3 linked regions of the Drosophila melanogaster genome follow. The protein of the gene in region 1 interacts with the protein of each later gene in a pairwise test. Each region holds a gene or a part of one and is shown on either strand. Other genes may lie near its edges.

Region 1 (4,446 bases):
AGCAAACAAATCCTCGATTACAAAATCAAACAGAGGACAAAAACAAAGGATGCCGAAATGGAAAAAATGTTTGCCCATAATGCAAAATGGGAAAATATGCGAATTCAATAAGCTGCGAGCGGTTGCTTGGTTAGCTTGGCTGGCTGGACAGAAAGGGCGATGGCGACAAGGACATGTGGCTGGGCAGGATACCTCGTCTCCTCCGTCTGACGGCGCTTACAAGTCATTTGGGCCAATTGCTGTTGACTCTGCGCTCTAAGGCGAATTTCCGCTGCGAAGTTCACATATTTTGCACTCACTTTATGCTGATGACATGCAAGTGGCAAAAATTATTTGCGCTCGTGCATTTGGCGACCAACTACAGCCACGTCTCCGAACCAGCCAACGTCGAATAATGAGCAGCAAACAAGCTGTGGAAATCAGCAAGCTATGGTCTAGGCACTGGGAAAAATTCTAGTTAAATATAATAAAATATTGCAATAGAAGTAGGAAATAATGCTAATTGATGATAAATCCATTATGAAATGACAGAAGTGGGAGAAGATTGTTCTGCTACGAAAAAACGTACCTATCATATTAAACTTCTTTCCGGCTTTTCCCAGTGCATGCGAGAACGGGAACAGACTACAGGAGCATGAAGAAAAAATGCCGCCCGACGGCAGACAGCTCCCATTTCCATTTCCATCGTCTTCTTTGTCGTGACATACGGAAAATTCCCCACGGAGTCTATCAACAGTTGATAAAGCAAAATGTGCGTAGAGTCAGCCGGAGAAATGGTAGGACCCTGGATGGCATTCTTTTCCTTTTTGGTATGTACATAAGTTTATTATTTTGAAGGTAATTGGATTTGTGTTGCAGCAGTCAAGAAGTCGCCGCAGCATAATAAGAAAATATAGACGAGGACATTGAACTTGGGGGCGCGACAATCCCAACATATGCTCAGTGCCCAAGGAATCGCCTCTGGCCGGGGAGTCCATCCGCTGGACATCGCACATTGGTCAATGGCCATTGTTTGCACTCGTAATTGTTTTCCTAATGGATAAAGTCTATAAATTTCTGCGACCGACACCCGGCCAAATGCGAAATATGTCACGAATGTTAAGCGCTTTATAAACGACTCCAATGCGTTTGTGGGCAGGAGCGGACTAGAGAACCGGAATGTCGAGGATTTATCGATGTTGGCCACTCAGCGGGTCGAAGAAAAGGCCAGCGGATTGCAATTGCCAAGCGGATGGAGTCAGATCCTGATGCACTTGCCAATGACTCGTAAATTAAGACGTTGATGGAGTTCCCCCTTTTCGAATTGTCTACGGGAGCTGTCTCCTCGAAATTTTTTTGTTTCGCTTTCCTTGATTTGAAATGGAAAATGAGAAAATTTAAGACACATAAATTTCAATAACAGTGCATCGTAATAAAAATTTAACATTGCTCTTTTATTTTAAGCGAACCTATTCTTCATTGAAAGGTGGCTGATGAATTCCGAGAATTCGATTCATGTTTTCCTTGTACATCTGAGTTCTGGTGGGTTGATTATCTTTTTTCTGGTTACCGGTACGGACTTCCTTTAGTCGATCGTGGGCCAAGGGGAATGAAAATCCGTCACCACGACTAGAGAAGATCGGAAAGGGCCAGAGGTACCACTTATCGCCATAAAGGTCACGAAAATTAACAAAATATCCCAAATTGAAACCATTATTGTTCTTGCCGCCAAGAAGAAAGTATGTGGCATAAGCCGACTCCATAGTGGTGCGATTTCGAGATACGTTTAACAAGCTGACAGTGTACATAATCACGGTGAATATGTTAAAGAGTATGCATACCAAGTACTGAAGAATGTTCCAGGAATGCTGATTTTTCAGGGCAGTAACTTCAAAGCCACAAATCAGGTACAAATCATAGACCATTACGCAGAACAGATAAAAGCAATATACTTCAGCGTAAAACAGGAAGAGTATGAAGTACTTGAAGTTGTGAAAGTGCACGCAGTTCACTATCCAAGGACAGTGGTGGTCCATTTTCAGGACGCACATGTGGCAGGTTCGACAGTGATGAGCTCTATCCGGCTTAATAATCCAGCAAGTCTTGCAATATCTCACTAGTCCATCGATGGTGCACGTGGCAATGGGTAAATTTCTAGCTGCATAATTTAAGACTCGAGATGCTCCCTCTATTCCATCGTTTCGCTTCAATTTGTCGACATCCTCGGGTGATATTTTCCATTGATCGGGAATCCTAACTGGAGCTACGAAAATGCACCGAAACCATGTCCATAGAAACATGAACAACAGTAGATGGTAGAAAAAGAGCAACAGTCCAATGGTCAAGTAGTCCGAAACTTTCTTTATGCAGATTTGGTAAACAAATACGTGGTAGGACCATACCAAAAAGCCCAGAATTATTAGAGCAGGAAGCCATCTGACCGCGCAACAGGGCACTCTTCTATGGCCTTCCCCAATCGGGCACATTCTGGAAGGGATCCTCCACGTCCGGTGAGAGTCGTGTTTTGATTTCTTTGCGGGAACATGTTGCATAACTTGTATTTTTGAGCCCTTTTTGTCAGCCTACTGTCTTTTGATTTATACGTAATAGAGACTGTTGTGCTTTTTGATTATTTATTTACTCTTCACATCCATCTTTAAAGAAAACATTAACTGATACCTGGGCAAGGTGAACATTGCCTGGGGCCTATCACATTAGTCAACAATTGGGGGACACAGACTTAGTTGCGGTGACGGAAGACGCGGCGACGGACGGTCTTGTAGCGGTAGCCGTCCTGGGCTGGCTGCTCGATCTCCTCGATGATGGGCTCCTCGGCCTGGACAGGAGCGGGTGGGATGTAGGCGGGGGCTGGGGCTGCGGGAGGGATGTAGGTCTCCACGGGAGCAACTGGAGCCGGTGCTGGAGGGATGTAGGTGTTCTTTGGCGCCGGTGGTGGTGGTGGTGGTGGGGGTGGGATGTAGGCCTTGGCAGGAGCAGCCGGGGGAGGAATGTAGGTGTTCTTGGGTGCTGGTGGGGGTGGTGGTGGCGGTGGGGGAATGTAGCTCTTCACAGGCGCCGGTGGAGCGGGCTGGGGGTAATCGTATCCTCCGGCAGCCGGCTCGGAAACATCAGCGTAGGCGCAGGCCAAGAAGGCGACGGCAATGATAAGGAATTTCTAGGATGGAAATACATATGGTTTAGATATTTTTTTCAATCAAATTTTAGCATATATATTTTGCCGATTATCCTTTAGGTAGTGTAATCCCTGAACTTACCATCTTGAGGAGATGGGCTTGTTGCTGCTTGGATCACAAGTTGATTTGTGCTGCTGAACTCGAAGTGTGACTACGGTTTTTATAGCTCATTGTTTTTTGGGGCTGCGGGTCAACCGGAGCCAAATTAATTGCATGATGCCCCCATGATACATGGGGGTCTTCACCTCACTCAAAAAAGTCGGAAGACAAGCGATACCGAACACACGACAACGAGCCTCCAATGCCAAGGCGGTTTGACGGGTTTTCTGGTTTCGTTTCGTTTCGTTTGGCTTTGGTTTCAGGTTTTGGTATCCAAAATCGCATTATCGCTGCTTTGACTTGGGCCAACTTTTTGTCTTCAGTCCTCAGATACTGCAAAAGCTTCTTTAATTAGATCAAACAAACCTATTGTTGCACGCTGTATAATGGTTTAATTTGTTTTTTAGCCATTATGTTTTTATTTTGATGAATGGTCGTGGGCCACACGCAAGATTGGCTTGGGTTTATGTTTTAATAATTATTTTATTTCTTTTGGATTATTTTTTTCGTTTTCAATTCCCTTGTTTCTGCTTTTTGAGCTGGGCGAAATATTAGCCTGGGGCCGGGCCTATGGAGTCGTTTCAAGTTTATGCCAAAATTAATTTCAATTTGTTTAGATTATGTTGATCTTGAAAATGTCTGGCGAAGCTTAATTAATTACTCAGGTCCGGATACTGACTCTGACTTTTTCGAACACCTGGCTAATAAAATAGTTTATAGTATTTCTACGTCGCATCATTTGGCTGGCAGACGTTGAACACGTTTTCGGTGGGTGCAAATAAGTAGTAAAAGATGTGCTCGCCAAAAAGATTGAAATGTATCTAAAAAAAAGTGGTTGGATATGTGTTTTGATTTCTAGTTTAATTATATTTATTTACTTTTTTTTTACATTGTACGCCTATTATTTTATTCTTTAGAATATGCATCACAGTTTTGGATATTATATGTCTGGTAATCGAGCACATTTCTATCTTCATCTTTAGAGTACCTATAAAGGTTATTCTAAACTGCTATACAGAAAAAATAAAGGATAAGGAATTGTTTTTATACAAATTGTTAAATTATAAGACAAACACAGTGAAAGTTTAGATAGTAACTTTTTTTTATTTTATTTAATAATTTTTCTCCTGGCGGAGATCATCGATGGAGTAGCTCTCTAGTAACGGCGACGGAT
Region 2 (5,313 bases), on another chromosome or scaffold:
GCCAGGCAGCAATGTTTGCTTCTTGGCATTTCATTTCGAATTCAATTTGACTGCATGTCTTGCTGCTATTTTTCGCTTTTCTAATGCAAAAGGAAGAGGCAAATGAACTAAGCGCGGAGTTTGAACAGCCTTCTATTGTTGTTGTCGCGATGTTGTTGGTGTTGGTGTTGCTAGTTGCCGCTGTGCACATTGGCGTTGCCACACCTCAGAAATGCGAAACAAAATGAAATTAATGTGGATACACGCACCGAAAAACTGTCGACAGGAACGGAAATATGGAGACAGAACTTCAATTTATTTCTTGTAATAAAATGTCCTTGTGCTTGGTCCAAGAAACTGTCCTTTACAAATTTTGTAACAAATATTAATCTAATACACATCACTTCCGAAACCGTTTAAATTTGTTAATATTTATTTGGTGATCAACTTTGGTGATGCATGTTTACATCATTTGTTTTTTCTTACAGTGGATGGCGCGTTACGCGCTTGTGCAATTGCAAATTGAATTTTTACAATTGGAGTGCAACAACAATTACAACTACAACAACGGCGTCTGGAAAATGTCGTCGGCCCGGGCAGGAATGAAAAAGAAAAGAAAACGCAAAGGAAACTCAAGTGGCTGCTTTTCATTTTCGCGCCGCGTTCAAATGCAAATCATTTGGTGGCTTTTGCAAGTTGACAATTTGAAACGCCATTGTTTATCCAGCCGAAGAAAAAGGGGTGCGGGTTGTGGGTTGACTGGCTGGCTGGCTGGCTGGCTGACTGGCTGGTGGAAAACTGCTTGGCATTTCCGCGTTGTCAGACAAGTCAGAGGCATGGACGATAGACGACAAAGACTTCATATTTCCTCGACTTTTTCCCATTTCCATTTTCATTTCATGCATTTATCTGGTTGAAGACAACTAATTGAGTGGAGTGGACAACGAGCGATTGCAGTCAATTTTTGCCCCGGCAGAGGAATATCAATTTGAATGCCGTGGAAAAAGCAGTCGAGATTTTGACTTTTCCTCTAATTCCCAGCTTGATTTCAAGGCCTTTCCTAACAGATTTAATTTTCATTCGCACTAATTGACGCAATTAAATGTTGCCATTCCAGGACTCGAAATGAAATCTTCGCCAAAAAATCCAGGCAATTTGCAAGTTCAGCCAAGCCGAATAGTATTTATAATGTCGAATTGTAGTTCAAAATATTATAAAATTTATTGAAAATAAACAAATTTATATTTAAAGTTAAATAATCATTTTCTTGGCTATTAGTGGCGGTAAATCATTCAGCAATAAAAATGTATTGGATTTAGATATTTATAAAAAAAATTGTTTAAAATATATATGTTGGTTTCTTTTTTTGAAAGTCTCTGTGTAAGCAGCAGCTGACCGTAGTAGTTATTAAGCCTATGTTTTGTTGCATTTCCGGTTCCAACTACCCATTCGTTCGAGCCACCAACTACTCCCGGAGGAGTAGAATGGGCTTAGCCCCTTCAAATACCATCATCCAAGGCAAAAGAGAGCCGAGACCAATTCAAGGCGATTTATGAAAATTAAAACATCTTTTCCATGGCTTTCAATTGCACTGCACCCAAAAGGAAAAGCAAATGCAGCGGCAAATGCAAGCACATTGACAGACGTGCAACATGAAAAGCAATTTCCTCGCACTAAAGAGAAAACTGAAACAGCAACAGCCATTGGCCAATAACAGCGAATTATATTCATTTTCACATTTTCCATGCTGCGCTTTAATAGTTTCCTCAAAAGGAGAAGAAACCGAAGACCCAACGACTTTCAATTGCTGTTGCAGCTATTATGCAATGAATGCAAATTTATTGAACACAATTTCAAAGACCGACAACAATGGTCCGCAGCAGAGGAGAGGAGACGACAACGCGGAAGAGTCGCAGTGTCAGTTGCAAATTGCACGTACCTTTGTTCAGATGCGCAACAGATGAAGATGTTGCTGCGGGGTTGACGACGCTGTTGTTGCTGCTGCGGCCGCTGCTGATGGTGCTGCTGACCGCTGACGAGGAGGAGGATGCAGAGGAGGATCCGCAGGATCGCGAAGATCCGGAGGAGGAGGCCGACGAGCAGCCGCTGTCCGGCGAAGAGTGGGCGGCGCTGGAGGAGGGGGAGCTGCTGCTGGTGTTGTGGTTGCTGGCCGGACCGAACTGATGCACACTGCTGATGGTGTACAAAGCACCTCCACCATTGCTCAGCGTGCAGTTGAGCTGATGTTGCTGCTGTCCAGGGTGTTGCTGCTGCTGCTGCTGTTGCTGTTGTTGCTGGTGGGTGTGCTGCCGTTGCTGCTGCTGCTGTGGGCTTAGACTGGCTGCAACACTCTCTGCTAGGGCTGATGTTCTATAGAAGTCGTCGCAATGCAACAACTGCAATGGATCAGCTTCAATGGCACTTAGGCAATCCTCCAAATCCCGGTGATGCTGCTTCTGCTGCTGATGCTGCTGTGTTTGCTTCTCCTCTTCCTGCTCGGATTCCAAGCTATTGGCCTCACTGTAGGCCCCTTGGGTGGACGAGTCCTCCGGTGTGTCAAAGAAATGCAAATTAAAGTCTGAATTTGCATTAAAATTGACTACCGGCAGCAGGGCTTCCTCGTCCTCGTCCTCCTCTTCTTCTTCGCCTTCTTCTTCCTCGTCCTCTTCGTTGTCCTCTTCCTCCGCCTCCTCTTCGCTTGGCTGTTCCTCCTCGTCCCGAGTGAAATCCTTGATGAGGTCCTCCTGCTTAACTTGGAGCTGCTGCTGCTCCGAAGACGAGTGCTTCACACAGGTTTCGACCAGCAGTTTGGAGCGGATTTGTGCCTGTTCCTCCAGCTCTATTTGGTATACATCCATGTTGCTCGGATCGAATCGGTGAGATGGGCATCCATCATCTTCATCATCGTCCTGCTGGCGGAAATCGACGTTGGCAACCTGCGAGGGCGCCTGATCAGCATTTTTATGGGAAATCTCTGCGATGTTATATCTTTTGCACTTAATGAGGAATCCGGAGAGGGCGTTTCAAAAGGATTCACGGTCTTTCAAATTTTCTTCGCTTTTGTCAGCTGTGGCTGAATTGAAAAAAGAAGTTAGGCTTTAGCATATGGCAAAGTCCTTTAAAGAAAATGCTATCCGATTTCAAAAGCTAGACCAATCTATCAAGTTCTGGTAATCTTGAAAAACCAATCATAATAAGTACGATAAGTTAACATTAAGTCTAAGAATAAGTGTATAAAATAGACATTAATTTTTGATATCAAGTAACCTAATATTCCCAATACTATAATATTTGGCCAATATTTCCTTTTTTCTATTTATTAGTTTGCTAAGTTTAGTTAAGGCCTTTCCCAGCCATGTACATATGTAATTATTGCCTCCCTACTTTGTGCGCAGTTCTTTCGTTAATGCTTGAATTCAATTATCACGATCATTTCGCATTTCTCATTACTAATCCCCTCGCTTAAGTTTGTCACTTGCACTTAGCCTTCGTAATAGCTTGTATTGCATAATTTTTCAATTCACTTCCGTGTTGTTTTCGAAGTCCTTCGTTTCCAAGTTCAGGCTAGTTCCAAAATCGGGCGCTCGTTTCGATATAGGTTCGTTTTGTGGCGGCACACTCGCGCGTCGATTTTATTATTTTTTGGGAGAAATGGTGATCGCGCGTACAAAACTCTCGCTTCGTCGAGATCCAAGCGCCAACTTCGCAGCGCTCCAAATGCGCCAGGGAAAATCCAAGCTAAACTGTAGAACCTACGACAACACACAAAAGTCCAAGACGACGACGGAGCAGCGGCGCAGAAGAACAAGAACGTGTCCCTCTGCGCCAGTGTGAGTAACTGTGCGCTGGTCTGTGTGTGGAAAGAGCAGGAAAATAGAATGCATTGCGTCTGTGTGGCCCAATGGAGTGGGAAAACTGCGAAGCGCCGCCGCCGCCGGAGCATGAGGTGGAGCCGCTGGAGGAGATGAAGGGAGCAGATCGGTTGGAGAGAGTCAATGTGATGCGAGTACTGGAGGCTCTATCTTTCTAATCTCCACCAGCGCCAGCGACAGCAAGAGCAGCAGCAATAACAGCAGCCACACAAGCTGCAACAGCAACAACTTGGAAAGCTGCAGCCACATTAGAAACTGCTGCAGCAATAGAATCGGCAACAGCAGCAGCAACTGTTGCAACAGCAACAGCACAACAGAAACATGCATTGCCACTCTCGCTGTTGCAGCTGTATTTTGTTGCTGCACTTTTTCATTTGCAAACTCTTTTCCTGGTTGCTATTTTCAATTTCTATTGCCGCTGCCGGCGTTGCTGCCAACGTCGGCATCGACTTCCAACATTTCCAAGTGCAACCACACATCCACTCAAGATCAATTTCACACACACCAATGCAGCGAGCGAGAGCAATAGAGAGAGACTCGGACCGTTACTTAGTTTGCACTATCCTCGAGGGAGAGGGCAATGGGCATGTGTGTGTGCGCGAGAAAGAGAGAGGGCAGAAGTGTGGGCGCCTTCAAGGGGGGTCAAGTCAAAGAACCTTCAGCTGAGCAGGCAGGAAAGAGAAAGGCCGAACGGCAGAGTGGGAGAGCAAATTCTGCAATGCGGAAGTTTAAATGTTGCATGTTGCTTTTGCGTTTGTGGGCTGTTTTTCACCGAGAAGAAAGTGGAAAACTGCAGTTTTTGGCATGAAAATACTTTCCTGAAAATTATTTTTGAAGATCAAATGAAGTATTTAGGAATTTGCTTCTGAGTCAAAAAGGTTTAATGTTTTGACTTGAAAATAAAAAGCAAACAATGCCAAATTTTCCCGAAAAATGAATTTACATTCAAGGACAATGATAAAAAATAATATGATTGTGCAAATTGCAAGGGTACAAGGAATTAATTAACTAGGTACAGAAATCTCTTTTTCGAATAGTATTTTTTCCTTTTTCCCTAACGTTTTCCGCAATTTTCGTGACGAACGCCTGGCGCAAAAGGGAACGAACGAAAGTCAATGATCAGCGGCGGCGGCGACGTCAACTGCATGCTAGCTTGCCATTTTTCCAACGGGCAGCAGCGAAAGCAACCAGAAACTGTAAATAACAGGAAAACGGCAACTGGGCGATCGGTGGAGCCACATATCCACGATCCTCCGCGAAAGCGAAAAGCCAGCGAGCAGCCGAGGTACGACGACCAATCGAAGCGATAACTCCGCCGCCCCCACCGATCCGACGATCCACCCAGGCTGTGGCATGCTATAGCACACTATATGTCCGATTGCGTCGGGCGATAAAACCTGATCTCCGCAGACACACCGATATGCCACGCACACTCCTCCAAAGACGCTCACCCATACAGACA
Region 3 (4,488 bases), on another chromosome or scaffold:
TTGAATGTGCCGCACAGCCGTTACATAAAATTAAAGGGTCCAAAAAGAGCTTTCAAAATTTCACAGCAGCGCACTCCGCTAAAAAAACAGTTTGTTCGTTCATATGGAAACAACCGTATGCGACTGCAGTGTGACCGCACGCTAGCACGCGAAAAAATATTGCCTTTGAACAGGAGCGGTTCAGTAAAGATATTTGTATTCAATATAATAGTTATGTAAAACTAAAACTTGCAATAATCCCAAACTATTTTCCAAGTAAAAACTATTATTCCGGGAATTGCGTCAAATTAGCCTTTTCATTTATTAATTTTCTTTCCCGTCGTCTAGTACTAGTCCCGCCGACCAGTCTCTCCGTGTCCCACCGACATAGTTAGATCTGTAAGTTCGTATCATTGCTATTTTTCACGATTCCTCTATACATTCAAAAAAAAAAAAATAAATAAAAAATTCCCCATGTTTAGAATTCCGCCGTTCCTCCATCGGTAATTATTCCGGGAAAACAGTAAACGGGCAGGTGCAGTTTCCGGTTATCGATAACCGTTACCCTGCCCTAGCCAACAAGAGTATGACCTGACAAAGGCGCCACCTAGCGCTCGTTTCAAAAAGAATGTTAAGTAATTGGCGCTTTAATTCAAATATACATACAAATTATACAAATTACAAACAGTGCGGCCGTGATATTGTGGATATTTATTTGGAAAATAGATATTTAAAGCAACCCAACTATGCCAATGCGTCGGGCGATTTTGAAGTGTTTCCTAAGATATACCGTAGTGAAACGTATGCTCTCGCAAGTTCGCATTATCCAATTTGCATTTCTAGAATAGTGAACTTCTACTCCTTGCGAATTATATAGACCAAACTGAAAGCCAAGCTGCAGAACAATATGGGATAGCTAAGCTTAAGGATTCTGTGGTTGACTAGACGCCTCAAGAAACTCAAGGGCTTGCCAGTTTGTTTTAGGTCCGGATCCGTTTCCTCCTCCATATCGATTTCCGCCTCCGGGCCCGTCAGCGTCTCCCTTTCTTCCGCTTGCTCACTTTCTATCAAGTCTGGAGCTGTTTCAACTTCGCTATTCTCTTCTATTCTGGCCTGCAAAAGTTGGCGCATTAGGTGCACATTGTACTCCGGATCAAATAGTTCATCCAAAGTAACCATCTCGCGACCGTTTTGCACCGACCCATCTAGTGAGGGATGGTCGGCCAGTTCCGGGACCGAGTCAATGCACACAATCTCATCCGCCGTTGGATGAAACATGGGCTCCAATGTTTCAGGGTATTTCTCGAATTGTTCACGAACAAGCCTGTCCTCTTCGGACTCGCTACTTTCATTAATTAACGTTTCGAGTTCCTCCATATCCGATTCGGGTACAGATTTCTCGGATTCTACGTCTGTAGGATCTTGCGGGGTCTCTTGGACGATCTCTGTGTGTTCATCTATTGGCTCTTCGCCCAAATGCTGGACAATTTCGAATTCCTTTAAAGATTCTATTTCCACGGCAGTTTCCTTTATTTCTGGAAATTCCCCTTTCGGTGCAATTTCTTTTTCCACCATCTGTACATTTCCTGGTATAAGTTCTTCGGGTTGTGTTTCAGGAAGTGTTTCCTGCTGAATATCGTTTCCTGTCAGCTGTTCCATATCTAGTCCGGAAGACTCGGCACCATTCTCCACATCAGAGGCTTCATTTTGCAACTGTGTATCCACATCAGTGGCGTCATATTGCACCTGTGTATCCTGGTCAATATCATCGGGCAGTAGATTTTGCATATCTAAATTATTAAAAGCCACATCAGCCTCCATTTCGGCGACGACGCGTTGAAGTTCCTTGAGAGTCTGCTCCTCTGCCAGTCGGAGCTCCAACTCGCTGCTAGTGTCCGGAATCCTGTCGAGCATCGGCTGCAGCATTGGACTCGGTCTGGCCGACAGCGTAGTCTGCTGCTCGTCCGTGGAGCAATCCAAATTGATGCCAGAATCGTCGGCCATCTGTTGACTTTCCATGGAGGAGCGTCGCTTTCTCTCGGGCATCAGTGAACTGTAGATCCGGCTGCTGGCACTGGGTCCCAAGAAAAGTGGAGCCGGAATTTTAGTGGGCCTAACTCCCGAACTGCGAGGCCGCAGCTCACTCTCCGACGAAGATGGGACAACCGCGTCCACATCGTTTTCCATTGATTGACATTCTTCGGAGTTTTTCACATTCTTGTTGTTCTCAGTCCGCTTCAGCTCTTCCTGGGATGGAGTTGCTTGCACATTGCGGCTGGCCATCGTGGCTATTTGGACGCATAAATGAATGAGGTCAGCACAATTTGGTAGAGCACTGTGCTCCAACTTACCCTTTATAAATTTACGCAAGACTGACTGAATTTAACCTGGTTAACTAGTTCGACATCCGTGAAATATTATATCAATGTTTTCAACATGGGTTTTCCCTTATTTCGGTGATCAAAACGTTCCCTAGCGAAAGTGTGTTCGCCTAACTGTGGCAATTGAACTAAATGGATTGACAGGCAATGTCTCCTGATTTCACGTGCAGCCAGGCCAACTTGATTCAGTTCATTTTTGTGTTGGAAAACGCGGCTCCAATGGCCAACTGGATTGGCAACTCATTTATTAACTTAGTGGTAGCATTAATACATAATTTGGTTAGAATTGATGGCAGAAAAGACGTTAATGGCTCTGAGGATTGCGATTCCCCTCAGTCCTGCAACTCCACCTTCGTCTTGAGATAGTCGGACAGATCATTGTAGATCAGCGGCTTCACACGATCTGTTTTGAAAAGCATAGAAAAAAGTTTAGTTCAGTTGAAGTTACCACTTTGTTTCGATTTCCCTTACTATTGCACTTGTACTGCAGGTTGGACCATATAATCATCCTCTGTGAGAAGCAGAACACGCCCAGCCGACCGCCCTTCAGCGTGGAGTCAAACACATTGCCCGAGTCGAAGATCAGGCGGTTACCCTCGTGCATTCTGTGGGTAGAAGGAGAATGAAGACATGGGAACCCTGTCATGGTGCCATCACTCACTGCAGGCGGATGAGGCCGATGGCCGGTCGATGCACCAGGGACCAGCGGTAGGAGGTCCTTTCCTTCCACGCAATGTTCTTCGGATCCTTCCACAGCAGCCTGGCCTCACCGTCGGTGTTTCCCTCGTGCCACAGGCTGTTCCTCATCATTGGGCCCGGACCCTCGGTGCTGTTGACCAGCTTGATCTGGATGCCCGGCGCCGCAGAGGCGGTGAAGGGTCGTGGCTCCCAGTAGGTTTGGGTGCCCTTCTTCCACTGCACCACGTAGTACTTGTAGCTGCTCTGGTAGCTGAACACAAAGCCAGCGTAGTCATCGTCCGTGTCATCGTTGATATAAAAGGTGCCGTCGAAGTCAACGCCTCCGAAGGCGTCCTTGCCCACCGCTAGTCCCGGATCCGAATTGAGGGTCTGGACTATCTCGGTGCCATTGGCGTGTACCACCCAGTTGGGATCCGCTTGCGATAGGCCTTTGGGATCCAGTGGAATGGTTTGAAGAGTGCGAAAGTCAGTGTGATGAATCATCGAGTTGTTCGGGCAGTTGTCCATGCCATTCGGTACACCATCTACGTCCTCATCATCTTCGCAAGAGTCACCCTTGCCATTCCGATTGAAGTCGTCCTGCTTTGGGTTCTTGGCCAGCGGACAGTTGTCCTTGTAGTTGGGTATCCCATCTCCGTCCATGTCGTCATCGCACTCATCGCCCGTTCCATCACCGTCAGTGTCCAGCTGGTCCGAGTTACTGACCATTGGGCAGTTGTCCAGCGAGTTTGGAACTCCATCATCATCCCCGTCGATGTCTCTGTGACAGGCATCGCCTACAAAGTCCATGTCGCGATCCTTTTGGTCGGGATTCGGAAGATTCGGACAGTTATCGCAAGCGTCGCCCACACCATCGTTGTCCACGTCCGACTGACTGGGATTCGGCAGCAGCGGACAGTTGTCTAGCGCATTTGGTATGGAGTCGTTGTCGATATCACCATCGCACTCGTCTCCCAGTCCATCCTCGTCCGTGTCCAACTGCCTGGGATTGTACTTAAGCACGCAGTTGTCGCACACATCGCCCACCTTGTCTCCATCCGAGTCCAGCTGCTCGGTGTTGTAGGCCAGCCAGCAGTTGTCTTGGCTGTTCTGGACATTGTCGCCATCGGCATCGTCGTCGCACCCATCGCCATGTCCATCCAGATCGGCGTCCTCCTGGCCTGAATTAGGCAACTTCGGGCAGTTGTCTCGCTGACAGCGCAGCTCTGGACAACCGATTGCCTGATCTGGCCATCCATCTACGTCGGTATCCCTACCGCAAATCAAACCGTTGCCCGCCCATCCCACATTGCAGTGACACTTGTGGCGGATGTTATCCATCCTAAGGCACACGGCATTGCGGTCACAAACGGTTCCATCCGGACACATGAACACCGAGGATCTGTCTAGGCAGCTGTAGGTGCCATTTGTTACATATCCTTCGTGGCAT

What was found.
Region 2: the proteins of CG17287 (region 1) and Eip78C interact in a two-hybrid assay, tested with the Drosophila melanogaster proteins (one large-scale study listed by BioGRID).
Region 3: the proteins of CG17287 (region 1) and CG11327 interact in a two-hybrid assay, tested with the Drosophila melanogaster proteins (one large-scale study listed by BioGRID).

Annotation. Positions count from the first base shown.
Region 1 is NT_033778.4:17,155,726-17,160,171, forward strand, and holds CG17287 (uncharacterized protein), read right to left. Parts: upstream 2,592-4,446; 5' UTR 2,466-2,591; coding exon 1,449-2,465; 3' UTR 809-1,448; downstream 1-808. Other genes in the region: CG30458 (uncharacterized protein), read right to left, coding at 2,720-3,154, 3,255-3,257; CG30457 (uncharacterized protein), read right to left, coding at 4,429-4,446.
Region 2 is NT_037436.4:21,224,997-21,230,309, reverse strand, and holds the start of Eip78C (Ecdysone-induced protein 78C), read right to left. Parts: upstream 3,392-5,313; 5' UTR 2,838-3,391; coding exon 1,919-2,837; intron 1-1,918. UniProt on the Drosophila melanogaster protein: Induces the early late puff 78C which triggers puparium formation and development.
Region 3 is NT_033779.5:6,684,233-6,688,720, forward strand, and holds CG11327 (uncharacterized protein), read right to left. Parts: upstream 2,481-4,488; 5' UTR 2,331-2,480; intron 2,268-2,330; 5' UTR 2,263-2,267; coding exon 835-2,262; 3' UTR 610-834; downstream 1-609. Other genes in the region: Tsp (thrombospondin), read right to left, coding at 2,693-2,763, 2,832-2,965, 3,022-4,488.